Linked DNA regions of Elephas maximus indicus. The protein of the gene in region 3 binds, or shares a complex with, the protein of the main gene of each other region. Links are inferred from orthologs where the notes say so. Each region holds a gene or a part of one and is shown on either strand. Other genes may lie near its edges.

Evidence for each region. The genes of interacting proteins can lie anywhere in the genome.
Region 1: the proteins of AXIN1 (region 3) and DVL2 are in contact, whole or in part, in a crystal structure (PDB 6JCK), measured with the Homo sapiens proteins. The link is inferred for Elephas maximus indicus from reciprocal best matches to the Homo sapiens genes AXIN1 and DVL2. Residues at the interface, in NP_003493.1 of Homo sapiens: Arg821, Tyr823, Lys825, Lys826, Glu830, Phe831, Val835, Val836, Phe837, Glu838, Glu839, Lys857, Glu859, Asp862; in NP_004413.1 of Homo sapiens: Lys15, Ile17, Tyr18, Glu23, Glu24, Thr25, Pro26, Tyr27, Leu28, Val29, Val46, Leu47, Gln48, Arg49, Pro50, Phe81, Arg84.
Region 2: the proteins of AXIN1 (region 3) and GSK3B are in contact, whole or in part, in a crystal structure (PDB 4B7T), measured with the Homo sapiens proteins. The link is inferred for Elephas maximus indicus from reciprocal best matches to the Homo sapiens genes AXIN1 and GSK3B. Residues at the interface, in NP_003493.1 of Homo sapiens: Glu384, Pro385, Gln386, Phe388, Ala389, Glu391, Leu392, Ile393, Arg395, Leu396, Glu397, Val399, Gln400; in NP_001139628.1 of Homo sapiens: Ile228, Phe229, Val263, Asp264, Leu266, Val267, Ile270, Lys271, Asn287, Tyr288, Phe291, Lys292, Phe293, Pro294, Gln295, Ile296.

What each region holds. Positions count from the first base shown.
Region 1 is NC_064837.1:13,618,427-13,626,316, reverse strand, and holds the start of DVL2 (segment polarity protein dishevelled homolog DVL-2), read right to left. Parts: upstream 3,006-7,890; 5' UTR 2,749-3,005; coding exon 2,555-2,748; intron 1-2,554. Other genes in the region: PHF23 (PHD finger protein 23), read right to left, coding at 4,078-4,292, 4,394-5,231, 5,816-5,908, 6,068-6,099, 7,637-7,670.
Region 2 is NC_064819.1:10,595,780-10,602,913, forward strand, and holds the start of GSK3B (glycogen synthase kinase-3 beta), read right to left. Parts: upstream 3,006-7,134; 5' UTR 2,550-3,005; coding exon 2,462-2,549; intron 1-2,461. UniProt on the Homo sapiens protein: Constitutively active protein kinase that acts as a negative regulator in the hormonal control of glucose homeostasis, Wnt signaling and regulation of transcription factors and microtubules, by phosphorylating and inactivating glycogen synthase (GYS1 or GYS2), EIF2B, CTNNB1/beta-catenin, APC, AXIN1, DPYSL2/CRMP2, JUN, NFATC1/NFATC, MAPT/TAU and MACF1.
Region 3 is NC_064830.1:57,641,663-57,649,055, forward strand, and holds the start of AXIN1 (axin-1), read right to left. Parts: upstream 3,001-7,393; 5' UTR 2,917-3,000; intron 2,825-2,916; exon of another isoform or gene 2,804-2,824; intron 1-2,803. UniProt on the Homo sapiens protein: Component of the beta-catenin destruction complex required for regulating CTNNB1 levels through phosphorylation and ubiquitination, and modulating Wnt-signaling.

The DNA.
Region 1 (7,890 bases), on a different chromosome or scaffold from region 3:
CAAACCCATTCCCACTGAGTCAATTCTGACCCAAAGAGACCCTGTGGGGCAGAGTGGAACTGCCCCACAAGGTTTCCAAGGCTGTAACCTTTACAGAAGCAGGCTGCCACATCTTTCTCCCGCAAAGCAGCTGGTGGATTTGAATGGCCAATCTTTCAGCAAGCAACCAAGTGCTTAACCACTGTGCCACCAAGGCTCCGTCATGGTTACCGCAGCAGCTGAAAATATCTTTCTAACCTAAGGAGCCTTGCTGGTAGATCCCCCAGCCTCCATCTCTGCTCTTCGTACACCTTCTTCCCAAAATGGCTTTGGTCCTCACCTACATCTCCTTCACTCATGCTTTCCTTCAGTTTTCTCTAGCTCACTTCCAGAGATCTAGCCAAACATGCTGTCTTTGCCTAGATGAAAATGCCCGTTAAACCAAAGACTAGTTACCTCCTCATTAGGCTGAAAGCCTCAAGGAGGAGGGAACCCATCTTCTGATTCTCCTGTGCTTCACCTAACACAAAACTCTGCCCTAAGCAATCTACTCAAGACGGAAAGGTCATCCTGACAAATCCCGAAGTCCAGCCTGGTGAGTTAGTTCTCCCTTGGGTTCCTTAAGGCGAATTAGGCTTAACCTTCTTCTCAACCCCCACATCAAATCATTAATGTCTATTCCGTTCAACACCATGTTCTGACCACACAGCACTGTACACAACATTTATTACGTACTAGCAGATATTTGGCTAAATGAATATATGAACCATGAGACTGTCTACTTTGGTTCCTCTTGGTTCCTCCTCTCTCAGGCACATGCCCTCGCACCAAAATTAGAGTATCCTGTCTTCACCTAATATGGTTTTGTGAGCCTGAATATATGCCAACTCAAGCCATTTGCTATCAGAATGTGACCTGGTCCATGTCAAAACAGCTCGGTCACTACCAATCTGTCTCAGAATAATGTCGCTTCCTTCCCAACTTAACCCAGTCTCAACATAACCGAGCCTACTCCAAAATGAGTTATTCCATAACCTAGTTTACGGACTAGTCAGCCTCAGTTCTAATAATAACTACCACTCGGTGAATATCCTGGGCTGTACACCTTTGCTAAACGTTTTACTCCATCTCACAGGTGAGGAAATCAAGGCACAAAAGTTCAATAAATTGCCCAAAATTACACTGCTGACAAACTGAAGAACCTTGATTGAAACTCAGGATAACTCCCAAGACAGGACCACTCTCCCAAAGCTAACCACTCACTCTAGGTAGCACCCAGGCTATCCCAGCCTAATCCAACCTGCCTTCGGAAAAGCTGAGGCTGAGAAAGTAGATGGCTCAGTCCCAAAAGCTCTACACACAAAAGGATTTACTTCGCATTATTTATAGTCCCAATCTAGCCCAGAATAATCCAAAATGTTCCAAATCACTCCAGGTTAGCTCTAGCACAGCCTAGAACATGCCCACACATAGCTGTCTGCAGCAATATAGACTAGAAATTCTCAATAAAGCTCCCTGTATTAGTACAGACCCCCAACAACCCTGTCTGCTCCAGTACTCTGACCCAGTAAAACCACGTCTGCCCCAATAGAAACTAGAACAACCAATACAACCACGTCTGCCCCACTAGAAATGGGAATGGTCTAAGTGTCTCCAGGAAACCCTGGTGGCGTAGTGGTTAAGTGCTACGGCTGTGAACCAAAAGGTTGGCAGTTCAAATCCACCAGGTGCTCCTTGGAAACTCTATGGGGCAGTTCTAATCTGTCCTTTAGGGTCGCCATGAGTCAGAATCGACTAGACGGCACTGGGTTTGGTTTTTGTTTTAAGTGTCTCCAGAATAGCCTACTCCACTTCAGGACAGCCTAAAAGATCCCAGTACAGTACTGTCTGTATCACTATACACAAAAACATCCAATATCTGGACAACATCATGCTTTACAACGCAGAGAGTCAGCGAAAAAGAAGATCCTCGATGAGACAGACAGACACAGTGGCTGCCAACACCTGGCTCAAACATACTACTGTGAGGATAGCACAGAGCCCACTAACAACTCGTTCTGTTATACACGATGTCATTATGAGTCAGAACCAACTTGACAGCACCTAATCACAACAGAATGTCCAAAACAACCCTGTGTGCCCTAATACACACCAGAATCCCCAAAATTGCCCCAAGGCCGGCCAATCTACATCAGGAGATAAAAGAATATCCCTAAATAGCCTGGGTGCTACAGAACTGCTCAGAATATACTGAACTACCAGAGGACAGACCCACTTGGCTCAGTACAGTCCAGAATACCCCCAAATAAACCAGTTCGCCCTAATATATTTCAGTACAGTCTAATCTTCTGTAATCTAGTTTAGGATAGCCCAGTCTGTCCTACAGCTCCGTGTGCCTCAACCTTGTCAAGCACAATCTCGTTGGTCCCGGGATAGTCAATCTACCCCCAGCTTAGTACAATCGACTCCACTATCGACCAGAAAAATCCCAATATGCCCCAGAATAGACCTGGGCCCTTCAATATCGCCTAATCCACTCCAGCACAGCCCCCATCAGTCTAGGCCTCGCGCTCACCCGAAATCCTGATCCATGGACTTGAAAAAGTACTTGGCTCCCGCGGGCCGCTGCAGGACGCTCTTGAAATCGCCGAGGGTGATGCGCTCAGCGGGGACGGGGATCTTCACTAGATAGGGAGTCTCTTCCTCATCCAAGTGGTAAATCACCTTCGTCTCCCCGACACCACCGCCCCCCGCGCCGCTGCCCGCCATGGTCTCGCCCGCGCGCTCCTGTGCTCCGCCGCCCACCCAAAGGGGCTAAGCACCCCCGCCGCGCCTGCGCACAGCCGCACACTGACGCGCGGGCAGGCACAGAACCGGACCAGTCCCCCAGACGTGCCCAAGGGATGGAGACGGTCGGGGTCAGACAAGCGGACAGCCGGGGCGGGGGCGGGCCGTGGGGGCGCGACCTAAAGACGCGGACTCCGCCGCCGCCGCGCGCCACTGCCGCCGACGTCGCGGGCGCCCCCCAGTGCCCCGCCCACCTCTGCTCACGTCACGTGGCCTAACTCGGCCCGCCACGCTCCCCCCGCACCGTCCCTGGATCACGTGACACTTCCCAGTCACGTGACTGCGTAGCTCCGCCTCGCGCCCCTGCCACGTGATCGCTGCCCTCAGCAACGGTCTCCCAACCCTCAACTGCCCCGCCCCCGAAAGTGTCCCCACCCTCGTCCTCTGAGCACCCTGGCTGAATTGGGCCTCTGCCCTCAGGCAGCAGGCTGCCAGTCCCACCACACCTGGGAGCGCGAGGCAACTCTGATCCACTGGAGTGTGCGTGTGGGGGTCCTAAGCAGGGAGTGGGATGGGGCAATGCCAACTGAGGCCTGAGCATCCTGGGTGGGAAAGGCCCAGGAGCAGGGGCGGTTCTAGCTGGGACTCTGAGGCGTTCTCCCATCTTTCCCAAAACCTCCCTCCGATGCAGGACAGTAAGGGCTATGAACACAAAAGAGCCCACTCCGCTTTATTTACAACACACGGGCCATCTGTACAAACAGCTAGCCGATATTATTAAAAACAAGAGATGAAAGAAATGTCACCTTTCTGCTTTCCTTCCCCTCTCGGCCAGACTTTGGTACTCCACCTTTGAGCTGCCATGCCCAAAAGGGGAAGTCCAAAATTAAAAATACAACCGGTGTATAAGAAAATAAATGAGGAGTGAGATAGGAGAAAAAACGATGAGGGAAGGGGGTGCTAATATTTACACTAGAGTTTTATAGACAGCTGCCCCATTCCTTCCCAATTCCAACCCTGACCCAAAAAGTGAAGGATGGCAGGTCCAATGGGCAGGGATTGTGTGTCTAGGGACCCAGACAACCTCTCGCCCTCAACTGCAGTGGGTCCACGTTCAAGTCCAGATGTTGGAGGGGGAGGAGGAAGGGGAGGATGGGAACATGAGACCCTCATTTCCAGAGCAAGTCTCCCTTGGGAGTTCCTGCCTTGAAGTGGGACAATGTCCAAGCTTCAGGGGATGGGCTGAGGACCCCAAGGCTCAGTTCCCAAGTCATGTTGTCAATTAGAAGTTCCAGCCTGGCACTGGTGATGTCAAGGCTCTCCAGATTTCGGAGGGCCCCCTAACCGCCGCGCCTCTGGCCGAAGTTCCTTGCATTTTTGGCAGTAAAAGAAGTCAGGGACATTGGTCTTCTTAATCTTAGCACAGGAGAGGTGGATCCACGTCCCACACAGGCTGCACTCAATCATGGGCCGTCCTGCAAAGGGCTTTCGGCAGTAACACGTGATCAGATCCCACGAGTCATCACCTGGGGAAAAGGAAGTTTGATATTCTGCTTGAGTTTTTAAGTCCACAACACCCCCAACTCCATTCTCCCAGCTACCCTTGAACAGCTCTCAACCCCCTTACCTGATTCTACCATGATGTCCTCATCCATGACCCGCATCTCGCCTTCACTAGAGCTGGCATCTCCATCTTGGCTTGTTTCAGTGCTGCCCACCTCCTTGCTTTCACTGTCAGTGGGAGGAGCTCCTTCAGGGGGCCCTGTAGCAGGGGGCCTAGGAGCCTCAGGGGGTGTTGGGAACACAGGGGCTGGGGCTTCAGCCCCTACCACTGCTGCCATTTCCTCTTCCTCTTCTTCTTCCTCTTCCTCCTCCTCCTCTTCAGAGTCTGTATCACTGGGGGGTGCCCGGGGAGGCCCAGGAGGTGGGAGTCTATCCCCTCGCTCTGCCTTTTTCAACTTCCGTTTCTTGCTCTTCTTGATTCGAGACCTCTTTTCCCCATCGCCAGGGGTTGGCCGAGGTCTCCGAAGAACCCCAAAGCCAGCCCCACCTCCTGGCCCCAACTTTCGGTTCTTTCGGTCCTTCTTTCGAGGAGGCTGGGTGAGATCCCCCTGAGAAAGGGGCACTGGGGTGAGAGGAACAGGGGGCCGGGATGCATGTGTCAGGGATGTGGGGGACAGGGGAGATGCCACTTTGGGGCCATCTAGATCAAAGAGAGAGTCCTTGAGCTTCATCTTCTCAAGCAGGGTGGCACTGTCAGGGGCCTGAAGGCGAGAGAAAGTGGACCTTGGAGGTCCTGGCTGGGTGGAACCCGACTGGGCTGCCCTTCTCTTTGATGACTTTGCTTTCTTAACAAAGGTCTGGATGGTTCGGAGATCTGAGGGGGCTGAGTCCCAGCCATCACTGTCTGCTGCACTCTCACCTCGCAATGGGGAGCTGGAGCCGGAGGCTGGCCAGTCACTTTCCTTAACAGGGAAAAGAGACCAGAGTCAGCAGGGGGCCCAGTGGCGTTTAAGCCCCTCCAGAAACCCAACCTGAAAACCAGGGACTAGATCTCCCCCAAAATATCCTGCCCCAACCAACAAAGCTCACTCAGAAAATTTATCCAGACCCCAATTTCTATCAGCATCTGTTCTTGAGCACTTCCATGTTACCTCTGTTTTCAAATTCTAACTATCTGCTCCTTACCAGGGCCTTTGAAATACTGTATTCCCACAAATCAGAGGCACATTTCTTAATCTACTTTTGTACTGCCTCCTTTGTTACCATTTTCACCTCCCTAAAACTCATCCGGAAACACCTTCCATTAACAGTACCCCCAAAACCATTTCAAAATCTTGACTAACAACCCAAGAGCCCCTTCCATCACTGTTACCCAAGCCACCTATCTCTATTATCCTCCCCCGCAAATACTCGTTTTCCCAACAGAACCCTCACGTTTCCAATTTCTCTAGTCTTACATATATAACTAACACAACCTCATTTACTCAACAGCCCTTCCAAGAATCCAAAGACACCATCCTCAAACCAGTTATTCTCCTGACCCTACCTCTTTGCTAGGAGGTATGTAACCAGCATAGGCCAAAACAAAACTGCAAAATTTGTTGAAATCTTCAATTGTTCTCCGCCGTTTCTCTGGTGGCTGAAAAGAAGAAAACAAGGATCACACTGAGGGCACAGACTGGAGTTTTAAGAGAAGCATCCCCAAAGGCGGAATCCCTAAAGTGGGAAAGCTAGAAGAGATGCATGGGGGGTGGGGGAGAGCATAAATACTGATGTGTAAAGGTAGGGGAAAACTCACCTGAGTCTCTGGCTTAAGGGTCGGAGGTGGATCTGTGAAAGCAATAAAAGCTGAGTCAAAGCCCTGGAACAGTCCATTTAAAATCCCCACCTCTAAACCTTAGAGGTCCCAAGTGAACCCCCTGTTCTCCCAGGTCCCCCAGCCAGTCGGCAGGCCCCCAGCTGTGCCCGATCGTCCCTGCTCCCCTCCCGTCCCACAAGGGGCGGAGCCTGGGCCCGGGGCCCTCCCAAGCCTCGTTATAGCGCTCCTCTTCCCCCTACCGGAGGCCGGGAGCCCCGCCTCCCCCCCCCAAACTCACGGTTTCTGTAGACTCCAGTCTACTCGGATCTCTTAACGCCCCACCCCACCGTACAGCTCCTAGGGCAGAACCCGGGCGCCGCCCGCCCCGTCCTTCACAAGGCGACCGTGCCGAGTTCCTACTCAGGCGCACTCTACTGCCCCGAGCCCTCTGGAACCTCACGCCATCCGCCGGCCCCCCGAGTCCGGGATGACCACGCTGAACCGCTCCCCGCCCTCCGGCCCCTTCTACTCGAGCACGAGGCCCGGCGCGCCCCTCACCCTCCACCCCAAACCCACACGCACGCACATTCAACGCTACTTTGTGTCCGGGACGGACCAGCGAGCTCTAACCCGGACGCGGCCCCACCTGCCCCCCCCATACCGCGCTCCCCACAATTTCGCCCTCCCTCCGCCCCCATCCGGGGCTTTGGCCCCTCCCCGTCTCGAGCTTCTTGGGTTCCCCGCCGGGCCCCCGGGCCCTGTTCCGAGCTCTCTCCGGCCGCCTTCCCTCCGCCCCCGTACTCACCAAGTCACTAGGCTACGGACCCCTAAACTCTAGCTTCCCCCCACAATCAGCGACTCTCTTCCTCCACAGAAACCACCACGACCGCCCCCCATCACCCTCCGCAACTCCCAGGCTCTAACCCTCGCCAGTTCCCCCTCCCGCGACTCGCCGGTCTTCACCCCCCTCCGATCCCACCGCCCTCTGCAACTACCTAGCTCTCCTCGCTTCCCGGCCCTCTCTCCACAACTACCCCCGTTACAGGTCCCCTTTCCGCAGACAATACCAGGCCCCCCTTTCCCCCCACAACTACCTGCCCAACCCTCCAGCAATCACCCGGCTGTCTCTGGCGGCAACTACCGGGAGCTCGGGAACCACCACCACCAACTCCCCCACCTCGGCGAACTACCGCGCCCCTCGCTCAGCCCTCTTCCACGTCCTCCCTGCCCAACAACTCTCGGCTCCCAGATTCCCCCAACCTTCCAGCTCCAAGGCCCCAACCTGCCTGCGGCCCTTTCGGCTCCTAACCCCCGAGGCTCCGGGTTTTCAGTTCCCACCCCCCACCTCCCCCCCACACACAGCGTCGGATCTCCAACTATCCCCAATCCGGTCTCCCACTCCTCTTCCTCCAGCATCTCTCAACTCGTCGCTCTTCACCCCCAGGGCCAGGACCCCGACCCCCACCCCGCGCTCCCCCGCTGGGTTCTGGGGCTCGACCTCCAAGTTTGCCAATTGATTCCTGGCCCGCCCCCCACCAGCTCAGCGATCTGTGCCGGTCGAGAGCTCACCTTCGGGACTGGGCTCCGCCATGGCTTCCAGCATCGCCCCCTCCCCTCCTCCCGGTCCGGCGCCCCCCTCCCCTGAGCCGGGGATCCCGGTGCCGCCTCCGGTGCTCGGTGCTCCTAATGACTTGCTCCACGGAGGTGTCTGCCTCAGTCCGGTTGTGACTCGTGTCCGCTAGCCGTTGCCGCTGCCGCCGCCTCCCTCAACCACAGCCTCCCGCACTCCCGGACCGGGCCCCCTCCCCCCGCGCCGCCGGCCG
Region 2 (7,134 bases), on a different chromosome or scaffold from region 3:
TCCTATATTTCTCAACTTCCAGCGCTTCCTATTTTCTTACTTAAAAAAACATACTTAGTCCTCTTTAATTCAGATTTGCCAACTTCCTTGCTGTCTCCCATACAAAAATCACCGCCTGAGCCTCGGTCCATTCCTTCCACCTAGAATCCCTCAGGCTTCGCTATCAATTCAAGTTACTGCCTCCTTTAACACCAGTCTTCAAAAGCACCTTCCACAGGATGTCTTCCCTCTCCAACCCATCAGCCTCACCCCTCAACTCTTTGTCCCTCAGAACAAAGGATGGGACTTATCTTTTATCATCTTGCAGTCATCACGCTATTGTTTTCATCTTCTTTCTCAGAAGCTCTTGAGTCTAAGGACCACAATGTCTTACGTATCTCTCTTTTGAACAGAAGTTCCTTAGAACGCTAGCACTCAGAAAATGCTTAACTCCTCTTTCTTCTAAAATGTCCTTAGAGTCAAAGTTATCAAAAACACATAATTAGCATTAAACTCCTAATTTTTAAATGTTTAGTTGACCTATACAATAACAGAAAATCACACACTTTACATACTTTATAAAAGCTACTCCATCCTCAGTCAACATCACAATACCAAGAATTAGGAAAGCAAAGAAAATCCTGGAAACGAAACGAAAAGCCCAAAAGCTTAGCATTATAGGATATTTTATTTTGCTCTCTGAAATAAATCTAATGAGTTAATTACCTAAAATTGATCTCAAGTGGTTTTTAAACTATGTTACCAAGATGTAAAACGTACAAACACTCCAGTACCACAAGAGGCTCTTAGGCAGCTATTATAAGATTTGCTTCATCATAGCTGAAAATTACGCCAGAATTTTTAAATATTCCTTTCAAATGACCCCATGAAATGCCTAGAAAGCTTGACCCTTCCCTGAAAGATGCATCAGCTTCCCTCTTCTCTACTAGTCACTGCATTCTCTATTAGCTAGTCACTAGGGGGGAAAAAAATTAACTTTCAAAAAAAATCTCCCATTCAGCTATTACCTTGGCCTACCCTGTTTCAGGCAAGTTCCAAAAGCCAACATGATTTGAAATTTTGAATTCAATTAAAAGCGATCATTTTATGTTGCTTAAGGATATAGTCAATTTCACAAGCCAGCATGTACTTTTAATATCTCACTTCTTCAGTTCTCTCAGTTCCTCTAAGCAACAAGATGGTTTGCCTTTGCCCTCAGCGTATCCCTTTTGTTCAGGAATAAAGAAAACCACCTACACATGCTTATCAAATTCTGTAAGTGTATTTAAATAAGTTGTCATTAGACACCATTATCAAAGATACAATAAACATCTCCACAAACTCTGATACATTGGAACAATGTTATATTCCTTAAAGCAACGACTTCAAGAACCTCAACTTTTCTGCACAAACCAGGCACGAGAGTACATACAGCCTGGCGACAACTCTGAACACAGCCCAAATAGTCCTCTTACATCCAGGACCACAGCATTCTGCAAAAGTTATGACGGAAGGGCTAAATCGATAGTCTTATAACTAAGTCCGTATTATCTAAATGTGAGGAAACCACTGAAAGAGTATCTTAAATAGCCCTAAAAAGGGACCCCCTGGAACAAGTAACAAATGCAATTCAATTTTGGGAACGCGAACTTAGATAGCAATGCGTCAGTGACAGTTATTTGGCAATTCGGTTTACTACAAACCTCAGTCGAAACTGGGACCTACTTCCAAGTTGCCTTCTGATGAAACATAAATTATACAGTGGCGAACTGCGAATGTGTCAAAACGGAAAAATTAACGATAGCACATTCAACCACTTAAACAACTGAAGACAATGCGAGCAGGGGTGCTCCCATCTGTGGGCTCCCCGGGCCCCTTCCAGAGGAGGAACCAAGGCTGCCTCCAAACGTGACCGCTGGTCACTGAGTAAGTTCAGCCCGCAGGGCGGAGAACAAATACTCTGTATAGTCGCACAGGCAAGAAAAAAAAGGTTAGGAGATTGGGACTTTTAGTGTCTCCATTAAGTATGCAAAACTATGATGACCCCTGAGAGCTGCGCTAACTAAAATGCGCCAAAAGACATCCACTCTGCAAATGTGCATAATGGTTTACGAATCAAGTCCTGTCCTTCTCTTTATTCAAAAGGATGAACAAGTAAACACTTTCCATCACTGTTTTAACGAGCAAACACTCAAGCACTTGGTGAAGCGGACTAACAACAGCCAAGAAAAGTATAAGCAGTGTTTCAAATCGAATGATCCAAGTAAAAAATCCCATTCTGTCATTCAAGGTTAATAAGACCGGGGGAGGGGTTTGGGAGGAGAAAAGAGGGAGCTGCCTCATCCTAGACTGAAGACAGGTTCTATCCTTTTCCATTACCAGGTTGCCTCTTACCAAGTCTAGTCCCTTAAAATCCTATTTCAAGGTTTCTTATTTTAAGGGCGACGTGGAGAAAGGGTTGTAAATTAAAATCAATACTCACTGCTAACTTTCATGCTGCCAAAAGCCGAAGGCTGCTGCACTGGCTTGCAGCTCTCCGCAAAGGAGGTGGTTCTGGGCCGCCCTGACATGATCACTCTCTTCCCGAATCACCTTTTCCTTCCTTCCTCTTGTCTTCCTATTGTTTTATGTTGGGGTGTTAGGTTAATGATAAATGCAGCATTAAGTTCTCCCCGGGAAAAAGAAAAAGACTTCGTCCTCTTGGCTTTGCACTCCTTTTATATTATCAAAAAAAAAAAAAAGATGGATTTCTCCTTCAAGACAGATCGGTATAGATATTTAACATATAGATGATTTGGGTGAAAAAAATACAATTCTTCTCCCTCCCTTTCAGGGAGGAGGCGGGGAGGAAAAAAGAAAGCTCCTAAAAAATACCTATCACGTGCAGCAGGGCAAATACTTGATTGAAAATAAGTCCTGTGAAGATTGTCTTTTCCTCGGGGATTTTTTTTCCGAGTCAATGAAGAAGGGAAGCGGCGGAAGGATCACGAGTCTCCCGCCGGCCGCGGGGGGAGGGGAGCAGGGGGAGGGGGTGGCTCGGCGAGGCCACGGGAAGCGCTGCGGCCCCGGCGGCCTGGAGACGGGCCCGGCGGCGGCGGCGGCGGCGGCGGCGGCGGCCGAGGGCGAGGTGCTCAGACGCGGGCGGCGGCGGCGGCGCTGGCGGCTCCCCTCCTCATTGCGCCAGGAGCAGCTGCAGGCGGCGGCTGGATCCAGCGGCCATGGCGGCGGCGGCGGCGGAGGCAGCTCCCTTCAGACCCCAGGCAGCGGCTCCTCGGCTGCTCCCCATACGCGGGGGACATGGGAACGCGGCCGCCGCTTCCGTCCCTCGGGGCCCCCTCCCCGTCCGCGGCCCCAGCGCGGCCGCCCTCCCGGCCCTCGCCTCGGCTCGGCGTCCGCTCAGGAAGCGTCCGCGCTGCGGCCCCAGCCCGGAGCACTGTCAGCGGCTGCGGGCCGGCTCCTCCTCGCTTCCTTCCTTCCTTCCTTCCTTTGTCACTCGGCCCGGGCTGCGGCGGCGGCACAAGCCCGCATTCGCCCGGCTCGGGGGCTGCTCTGTGTGAGGCGAGCCGTCTGCGCAGTCGCCTAGCTCCTCGCCGCACCCCCTCCCCCCTGCTGCTCGTCCTCCGCCTCCTTCCTCCCCCACCCAGCCTTACACCGCCCAGCGCCCCGCCGCCCGCGTAACAGGCGTCTGGGAATCGCCGGCCGAGCCCCGCGCCCGCCCCCTTCGGCTGGGGAGCCGAAGCCCGAGCGGGGCCAATCACGGGCGTCGTTTGTTTGCGGCTCCTCCCGGAAAAAGCCGATCGACCTGAAGAGCCAATTGGAGAGTGCCGCCGGAAATCCACGCCCGAGGAGCGGAAAATGCCGAGGATAACCGAACGGGAGCAAGGGGGATTCGCCTTGTTTTGTGGCTGGCTGAAGGAGAAATTCGACGGCGGCAACAGTAGCCAATCAGAGCCGCCGTCTCTCTGGAAAAAGCATGAAGAGTTAAGGTCGGTGAAACCCAGAGTTCCAGGTGAAACTGTACTGCTGAGAGCCGCGGCCGCTTTGTAATTGGCTGAAAAACTCTGCTGGGCGTGTCCCTCACTCGGTGATTGGAGGAGGAAAGGGGGCATCCGAGGAGAGTCTAACCAATCAGAACTGCTCTTCCCTAGCCGAGGGGGGGAGAAGAAGAAAGCTAAGGGAGGACGTTTATAAAGCGCCTTCTTATTGGCTTGAAGCTTTAGAGCGGAGGGAATGGGAGGGAGGCCGAAACTCGTTGCGATAGCCAATCGGCACTGACGGCTCTCCTATCGCAAGACCTAGCTGCAGTGTGATTGGCCTACAACCTACGGCGGCGGCCCCAGGCGCTAGGAGCTCGTCTGGGGTCGTGGCGGGCGGTGTCGCCTACTCGCTGGCGGCTGCTCCCAACCCGTAGGAAAGCCGCAGACAGGGAGCGCGGGCTTTCCGCGCACCCGCTTCGCGCAGCCTGTCCCAAACCCGTGGTCGGCGGAGCTGGGCTCTGCTAGTGCTTAAGCCAGCGAAGGGTCGGGGGCTCTCCGCACTCCCTGGAGGCTCTCGGCGGGGTGCGGCTAAGTCTCTGCGCCCGAGCCATCCTTCAGCCTGAGATCGCGCGTCCCGAGGACCTGCGTCTTCCCCAGGAGGCCCCAAGGGACCCCTCCGGCCGGCTGCGATTTCTCAGACACGAAAGTGGGGACAAAGCTTCCAGAAAAGCAGCGCCCCCGGGCAGCCGCGCCCCGCCCGGCCGCGGGGACCATTGACAGCGCGAGGCTGACTACGCCTCATGCGCACGGCCCAGCTGGGCCTTCTGGAAACGCCCCTAAGAAATGAGCTCATTCTGGATGCGCGCACTCCTTGGGCGCCACTGCCCGGTGCAGAAGGGGCCAAAAGCAGGTGAGGGGAGATGCCGTCAGGCCGGATATCCTGAGATCTCTAAGGAAGCGGAGTCAGCATAGCCCTGAGTGCCTTTGGGTCCTCCGGAACCAGGGTCGTCTATAAAAGCACTATTTGAGTAGATTTCACACATTGTCCAGCCTTCATTGCTCTACTGGAGAGCCAGGTTTTTTTTTTGTTTTTTTTGTTTTTGTCAGAGGACAGTGAGGTGTGGCTACATCAGGATAGCAGGGAAAGTAGAGTAGACAGTTGCCATGCTGATTATGATTCCCTGGGACCTGTAATTTCCACCTACAGGCTCACTACTTTCAAGATGCTGTCTCCAGAAAGCACATGTAAAAGTACTCATTTGATCAGACTGCCTAGCAGTTGGCTTGGAAAGTCTGATGAAGGACTTGGGATAGAACAAAGTAAGCTTTGATGGGAGACAGGAAAAGTCTAGACAAGTAAAGCAAATGAGTGAAACTGGCCTGGTGTAAGACAATGGCGAATGATAGAGAATATGGCAACTTGGAGTATCCCTGCCGGAACTAAAATGAGCAGCTGCTCCTCAGCCCTAGCAGATTGTTGCCCTCAGGAATGTGGGTTCAGTGCAGGGCTTCCAACCAGTTAGTTCAGGTTCGAACCCCTGCTGAGAATTTGCATTTCTATCCCAGATAAACTGAATTAGAATCTACATTTTAATAAAACCCCCTGGTGATTCTTAATGTATAATAAATTTTAAGAACCACTGCTCTGCTAAGTGGTTCTCAGAATTGGTCCCTAACCAGCAGCATCAGCATCGCCTGGGAACTTGTTAGAAATGCAAATTATCAGCAGAGGTTTCAACCAGAAAAGGTTCAAAGACCTGGTTCAGTGTTTTTGAGATAGTCAGTGTTGTTTTTGTTTTCCCAAGATTAAACTAAGAGCTGGATTTTTGTGTAAAACCTCTGGATTTTTAAATGTTGACAACCAATACTTAAAACATTGCAGGGCAAACTAAAAACATCCTGGGGTAGACGTGGCAAACAGGCAATCAATTTGCAGTATTTAACCAGAGCATAGATTTTGTAGCCCCAGAGCAGTAGAGGCCCTAGTTCTTTGCAATTAAGAGAGAACATGAGATCAGTGGATGTCATGGGGGAGGGTAAAGAACATTAAAAGCCAACTCAGTGCATGGCAAGCTTGTCAGCTGATTGGTGGCTCTCCATGCTATTAGGAAAAGCCTTTGTCACTGCTCCTGAAAATGCTGTGAGGCAACACTTTAAATCCTGCCTTCCTCTTATACCAGCAAGAAAGTGAATAGGAAATGTTTAGGTTACACAAATTGGAAACACGGGTATTATTTTGTAATACAAAAATGACCTAACTTGAGGTTATATTTAGCTTTACTGTTGCTGCCTTCAAATATTTTGAACTGATGCTGTTAAAACAAAAATCTGAACGAGAGGGAAATTTTATAGGAAAAAAAGTATGTATGTCAGTCTAAGAATTAGAGCTGGAGAGAGAAGTTTATGAGGAAATACAGAACTACGCAAACATTTAGTGATTGCTTCCCTGAACTGTTCAAATCCAATGTTACCTTCCCACCTACTGTCAACTACTAACCAGTTTATAATAGTAATAGTAAACAGTTAATATTTATTGAGCGTTTACAACGTGCTAGGCATTGTTCTTAAGTGCTTCACACATACTGTCTCATTTAAACTTCATAACAATCCTACCCTGCTTTTCAGAAAGCTTTACTAACTTGCTTCAGGTCCACAAAGCTGAAGTAGCAGAGCTAGGATTCATATCCCCTGTTCTTAGGCCCTGCTCCGTACTTTTCTCTCTCACAGAGTCCCCACATTCCTCCATATGTCTTGCTTTATCACCTTATGCCTTCTTACTGTGGCATCTGATGTGAACACAGCCCTCAGTATAGTGTCAGTTTGGTTTGCTCCTGGGCTCATGAGATGGTCTCACGTAGAGATCAGTAAGTAATTCTAAGCCGAATTCTGTGTGGTTACTGAGAGTGTCCACAAAATGATATTTATAAGTTAAACTGTACAATGAACTGCCTCCATGTATTCTGTAGTAATAAAAACATTTAGATGGCACTTTGCAGCTTAGGAAACACTTTAACAGGCATTGTATCGTTTGGTCCTCACAGCAAGCCAGTAGAGTATGAAGGGAAGCTATTCTGTTTTTACAAATGAGGAAATTAAGCACTATACAGATTGAGTGACTTGCTCAAAATCAGCTGCATTTTAAATTGAAACCAGGAGAAACTGAAAACCTCAAAAAACA
Region 3 (7,393 bases):
TGTTTTCTGTCCACCACCCCTTCACACTCAGCACAACGTGCAGTGTGTAACCCACAGTAAGGTGTTCCTCTCTCAACTCACACAAAAAAGCCGTGACTTGGGGGTCACCTCCAACGTCACGGGCTGAGTGACTGGAGGATACCTGCAAAAGCACAGGGCATCCTGACCGTCAGTGTGAGAAAGCATCTGACAGCAGGTGGCCGTCAGGTACTTTAAGAAACCAAGAAGGCACAAGAAAAAATCAAATCCAAATCCAGTCACACGTTTTAGCCAAGGAAGCACAGAGCTCATGTGACTGAATTCCGTAAACTGAAGGAAACACCCCTCCCCTCATAGAGGTCATAGATTCAAGGGTTTTGCTGCTGGTGTCGCCCAAGCCAGCATGGATATGAGGATCAGATCGTCCTGGACACAAGGCTCAGACAGACTGACTCTCTGCCTGGTCCTCAGGGCCCCCCACCACACCCTCAAGGAGCCCACAACCATTCCTGCTAACCTCACCCTCTCTCTCCCTGCATCAGCCACCAGGTTAAGAGGTCCCAGCTATACAAATGCTGGAGATCACAGGTTTTCCGGAGTGCTAAAGAGGCCAGGGTGTGCAAAGTGAAACCCGAGGACTAGTCTAGAGGGCAGCCTTCTGAAGCCTAAGGCCCATGCTGCCGGGCCCTGCTTCCACCTGGGGCCAGACCCGAGACACACTGGAAAACATTTCTGCAGCGAGTGACTTTTCATGAAAACTGCTGGGCAGGCTGCAACAGTGGCCTCAGCAGGAATGCCTGCTGGTTAAGGTCAAGGCCCCTTGGCTGTGGTGTCCCGCCGCTCATGGCCACTTTGCCACAAAAGTCGCTGTCCCTCAGCCCTGTCAGCCACAAGCAATCCCTCCTGTGTCTGTATCTCTGCACATGCCAACATGACACGCCCCTGGGACCCTTGCAGTGCACACACCATGAGGAGGAACCAGGTCACTAGACACATGAAAAAATCACTTACCAAACAATACTCTAAGTGGGAACTTAATTACGCATCTGTTACTGTCCCTGCTCTTAAGGGGCTGTTAGATCTAACCTTTCATCACAAAGTTGCAGGTGTCTTTCAAGAATGACATTTCAATTCATCTGAGAACCAAATCCACCTTAATCATGCTAAACTAGTTTCACAGGCTAAAAGAAACTTTTCCCAACATTCTCATCTATTTTTGGCCGTCCACTGACGGAGATCTTTGGTGTCCCTGAAGCACGGAGACACCCTGACAAACTACTGACAGCATAAACCTGCTCTCGTGGTCTCAGTCCTGGGCTCCAACTAAGACACAGGTGTACTATTCAGTGTGCACACATACACACCACACACAGAACAGCTGTATTAATTCAGGTCTGCGCCAAGTAGCCACAAACACTAACTCTGGCCCACAGCCTGGAACCACCATCAATAAAGTGAATCCGTAAAAAGCGATCTATAAGCCTGACACTGTTTACATTTCTTCTGGTCCTGGCTTGGGCACACCCCTGGACCATGGCAGCACCCTCCACCTCAAGTAACCGAACCACTACACCTGTGCCTAGGTAGGTAGGTAGGTAGAGAGATGAGATGATAGATTTTACTCAAACGTTATCTTCCGAACTTTTTATTTAGATGGAGAGCAGATGTAACAGTATAACTCTGACATTTTCCCAATAGTCCATTAATTAAACTCTTGAATGGTCAGGGCTACTGCTTTACATACAATCCATCCCCCAACACCTGAATTTCTAACGATCAGCCTTTCTGAAAGGTCAGAACCAGCTGAAAATCAAGCAGAAGCACCATGATTTACATGCTTTCCCACCCTTGTACCGAACAGAATTTCTTTAAATTGAAATTGAGCTACTGCTGACTATCTCTGGTTGGTCAGGTGTAGACGTATGTGCTTCTCCAGACCACGGCCTGTGGATCCAAGTAAACATGAGATCTGCCTAAAGATGCAAAGAATACAGATGAGCCAAGAGGGAGGGGCCGCTGTGCACAATGAGGACCCTTTATAAATTAACTTAGGGATGGGCTCAGGAAAATCCCAGAGGACTGATGTTATCATCCCTACTGACCTCCTGAGGAGTTAAAAAGTTCTGCTGCCACAGCTGTGCAGCCCTGGTTTCATGGGTGCGTGGGGGGGGGGGTCGAATTCCAAATTGTGGGGTGGGGATAGAAACGAAGACCCACAAGAGAGACCCGGTTTTAGGCAAGATAACAGGGGGTGTGGAGGCCAGGAAAAGCGGGTACTCAGACAAGCTGAGCCCCAGCACCTCTGCCACAGAAAGGGAGGGCCTGCCAAGGCTTTGGACGCCCTTACTCCTACTTTTGCTGGGGGATAAGGAGAACAGCACTCCACAGCTGCGCTCTCCAGAACTCCTGCACTGACCTCTGGCCCCAGCAGCCACTCTGACCCCACCTGCACCCTGAAACCTGCCCCAGGCCAACGGACAACAGCACCCACCCTGCATCATGCAAACACACCCAGCTGCTGAGACCTCGACCCTTCTCCTGAGAGCACTCCCTCTCTCAGAATCCTGGGTCTTCCTCACTCTCTTCCACACACCTAGACCAAGGGCCTGCTCTTTCTGAACCAAGCCCACTCATCCCCCTTAACACGTCTCTGTGGCAAGGGCCTTGCCTTCCCATCCCCTGCCTGGCAGGCTGGACCCCAACATCTTCCCAGGATACCTCTCAACCCCCAAGGCTTCTCCGCACGCCCTCGAACCCCGTGCATCCCCTCGGAGCCCAAACGTCCCCGGCTCAGCCCTCGCACCCCTGCACGTCCCCTCCGCACCCCGGCCTGCACGCCTCGGAGCCCTCTTCCGGGTCCCGCGCCGCGGCCCGCACCTCGCACGCCCGCCGGCCTAGTGCGGCCTACAATGGGCCCGGCCCGCCCGCCCTACTCACCGCCCGCGGCGGCGGGGCCCCGGCCCGGCTCCCGGCGCGGAGCGGCGCGGCCCATGCGCTCAGCTGCGGCGCGGCAGGCGGGACCCGGCGGGGGCGCGGCCCGGAACGGCCCCCATCGCGGCGGCGGCGGCGGCCGCGGCGGCGGCGGCGGCGGCGGCCGCGCGGAGCGCGGGACGCGGGGCCCGGACGCGGCCAGCACGGGGAGGGCGCGGCGCTAGGGTGCCGCCGAGGTCCGGCCGCCGCTCTCACCGGTCCGCTCCCGGCGGACGCGGCTGCGGCCCGACTCTGGCCCGACCCCGGCGGCTCCTGATGTGGTGGCAGCCGCGATCGCGTCCCCGAGCTGGGAGCCCGAGCCCAAAGCGCCGAAGCCCAAGACCGAGAACCCCCGCCTGCGCCTCCCGGAAGTGAGGGGGCGGGGCCAAGAGAGCGCGACGGAGCCAGAGGGCGGGGATAGGCCCGAGAGCGTGGGGGTAGTGCCACAACGTGGGGGTGTGGCCTCAAACGGGGAGGCGGGGCCGAGAGCGCAAGGTAAAGCCACAGCGCAGGACTGCTCCTTGGGCGGGGGGTGGAGTCTCGGCGAGGGGCAGGTCCTGGAGAGGGAGCTCTGGATCTAGGGGAATGTGGGCGTACCCCGCATCGCCCACGATTTTCTGCGGCCAACACGACTGAAGGCAGCCCCGGTGATCGACGTGCCTAGGATTCCTCAGGTCGGCGCCCACAGGCCCGGCCCATGCCCAGCCGCTCTTTCCACCGCCCTTCGCGCTTCACCACCTCGTGCCCGGGTGGGCGGGGTGACCAGTGGGACTGGCAGCCTCAGGCCCTGCTGGCCCTGGAGACCCCCCCTCAGCCTACCCACCCACTGGGGAAGTAGGGGTCCCAAGTTAGCCGGCAGGCCCGGTGGCTGGGGGCTGAACTTCCTAGTGACGTCCAGCCCCTTGCCCAGGCCGCAGTCCACTGTCAGCACCTCTCCAAGAGAAGGATGTGGCCACCAGGAGTCTCTGATCCCCAGGAATCACGGCCGTGCCCCACCCCTTCTCAGAGCCGGTATCAGGCCTAGCACCTCTCTGGATGCTCCCAGCAACCCCCAGGGGAAGCTGTACCCCCATTTTACAGCCTGGGCCATTTAGGGACCTGTCACCACCTGGACCAGGACTCCTCAACACCCAAACTTCCCCAACAGCTGTCATCTGGGCTGCCCCTGCTCTAAAGCCCCCTAGGGCTCACCCAGTGGCATCTCCCCCACACCACCCACTCCTCAATGTGTCTGGTTATTTGCCCACCCCCATGCTTTCACCCATGCCGCTCACCCAGGCGGCCCAGACCGCCTGTTCAGTCACCTCGTCTTCTGGACACTGCTCAACCTCAGCTGTCCACCCCCCTTATTCTTCACGGCTTCCGGCAAGGGCAGAAGTCCTGGCATGGAGCCCCTGGAGCCCCTAGTCAACCTCCTGCCCAGTTGCCCCCTGTGATGCTTGCCTGGGGTGAGTGGTATGGAAGGAGGGGCACTAAGGAAGGGTTCCCAGCCCATCAAGGGCCCAGGCCACCTTCTGGGGCCATCGTCATGCCTCAGGGCAGTAAGGGCAGGGGCTGTACTGCTGAGCCAACACTGGACAGACACAGGCTCAGAGTGCTGGGCACAGGAGACCCTTGTGCACCATCCCCTGCCTGGTGCAGCCTCAGAACCTTGGAGGAGACAGAGTGGCTGCTTTCATGCTGTAGCAGAGTCTCATGGTGGGAGGCAGCCCTGGGTGGGCTGGACAGACAGCAGGCCATCCCAGACACTGGCCCTGTCCACTCCCAGACAAGGGCCCCAGAGCTTGCCTTCGATCTGCAGAGCTGCCACAATGGCCAGGCCAGGCTCTGGGGGCTGTGTCCATGCCCATCTTCCTCCTGGCCCAAGGCAGAGGGTTTCCCCAGGCCCTGGGACCAGAACAGGGCCCTTGGGCCTCCCACTCCTGGGGGCCTCCAGCCTGCAGGGACAAGAAGGGGGTCAGAAAGCCTTGGGGGAGGCAGCGGCCCCTGCTAAGAGGATGATGGTCATGAGGGTGGGGAGAGCAGACTACCTAGCATTGGCCAGAGGGGGTGAGCTCAGAAGATGCCCCCACCAGGGGCCAGACCAGAGAGATGGTGAGGAAGGCTGTGGAGAGAGAGGCAGAGGAAGGTGTTCTCGACTAAGCAGGGTGACCTGGGCAGGGGCCCTGGGCCAGCCACCCTGAGCTGAGAACAGGCCAGAGGTGTGGGGACAGAGTGCTCTCCATTCAGAACAAAGGTCCTTTCAAAGATAAACACCCCTTCACTGAGAGCAGTTTGACACCAGAGGCTTTAACGGAGATTTGATCAACTACAGATGGCCTTGTTCAGGCTCACCAAGGACTAAATGAAAAATGTAGGAGCAGAAATGACCTGTTTTCTAACTTGGGTGGAAAAGGGGTACTCTGAAATAAAGGACACCTCGAAGCCCTGAGGGTGTCCGCCCCATCAACTGTGGATGAACACTTAGAAAAGTGACCTGGGGGAGGCATTGGGGCAACCAAGATTGGTGTGGAGTCCGTCATGCAAGATGGACAATCCTTGGAACTGGGTGCGGCCCAGCATCCAGGAGAAGGGCAGCTGCATAGACGGATGGCCACAGTCAATGGCCGGTCTAAGGGAACCGTACTGCCCGTGCCCCTTGGTTTCCACGGAGGGGAGTGGGTTCTCCATAGGCCCCTCTGGTCTCTCCACCCCCGCATATGCTGGAGTCACAGGTGTGTGTGTGCCACAGGGGGTGCCCTGAAGGAAGACAGAAGCCTGGGCCATCCAGTTAACAGAGTGGGGAATTGGCTTCCCATTGGCGGCACAGCCCTGGCCACAAGCCTCTGGACTCCATCTCTCTGTCCCTGAGCCTCTTTTTTTCCATCAATTCTAAGCTCAGCAGAGGGGGAGGGAGGAGTGTCATCTGTTATGCCCCTACCCACTGCAGATAAGTGCTCATGATATATAACATCAAGGAGAAAACCTACAAAACTGCGCACAAACAGCCCAACTGTCCACCAACAGATGAATGCATAGACAAAGTATGGAATATTATGCAGCTATAAAAAGAAATGGACCCTGACACATGCTACGATGTGGATGAACCTGGAAAACATGAGGTTAAACAAAAGCCAATCACAAAGGCCACGTATTACATGACTCCATTTATATGAAACATCCAAAATAGGCAAACCCATAGAAACAGAAAGCAGGTTAGTGGTTGCCAGGGGCTAGGGGGAGGGGGAATGGGGAGTGCCTGCTAATGAGTACAGGGCTTCCTTTTGGGGTAATGAGAATGTCTGCAAATAGAGGCGATGGTTGCACAACACTGTGAATGTAACTAATGCCACTGAATTGTACACTTTAAATATGGTTAAAATGGTAAATTTTATAATATACATATTTTATCTCAATAAATGATTTTTTTTTAAACCACACACACAGTCTCCCTGTTTCTGTGAAAATAGAAAATGTATATATAAAGGCCAAAAGATGAAAAAAAAAAAAAAAAGGCCACCCCGGAGCATTGATCAGATGGAAACGCAAGGAGTGACATCTTTCTGTCAATGGTTGATGGTGTCAATTAACCATACAGGGAGGTGCGGCAAAGGTGGGACCCTGCAGGGCAGGACGAGTGGGGCGTTGGGCTGGGCTGTGGGCTCCGGGCCTGTGACCAGGGAGAAAGTGCCTGCAGGAGTGGCAGGTGACCTTCCTGAGAGATGCATCTGCTGTGGTTGCCAAGCCCACGTTGGCCCTGAACTGCACCAATACCTGCTCCTGCTCCTTTTTCTCCTGTGCTCAGCTTGTCTTGCCCTTCATGCCTGATGGGCAGGTCAGTCCTCCTGGCTGGTGTTTGGATCACTGTCAAGGCTGATCCCATTCTCCTGCCAACCCCAGAGCCTATAGCACTTCAGGCAGACAACTCCCCGGGGATCCTAGTCCCCAAAATCTCACAAATCCCCACTCCAGCCCCTGCTGGCCGGTGACAGTTTTGTGTGTGACCCGCCGCCTGACGTTACCCTGCAGCTGAGGTGGTTTCTGTTCCCATGACCTGGCACCAGCCGCATTCAGAGAGTATCTCACCTCACCTTACCCCCTTTTACAAGGAGGCCACTAAGGAAGGGCTGGGAGCAACACACATGGCCATTGCCAGCAACGATGCCACTGTGGTCACTGTGATTGAGTCCAGGACAGGAGCCCAAAGGTCCCACACCTGCACCCTCATGGGTCACACCTGGCCAGGTCTGCCTGCCAGGCAGCACTCATTTCTGGGGGAAGCCAAGCCTCTCAGTCACTCCAACCCATTTCCCCTGCATGGACAGCCCAGCCAGCACACCCAACACAAACCACATTTCTGCTGGACTCCAGGAATCCAGGGTCAGGCACAAAACCAAGAGAAAAGCAGTGCCAGCTGGAGGCCAGGTGGAGGATAGCCAAGGTGGGGGCTCAGCAAATTATCTGG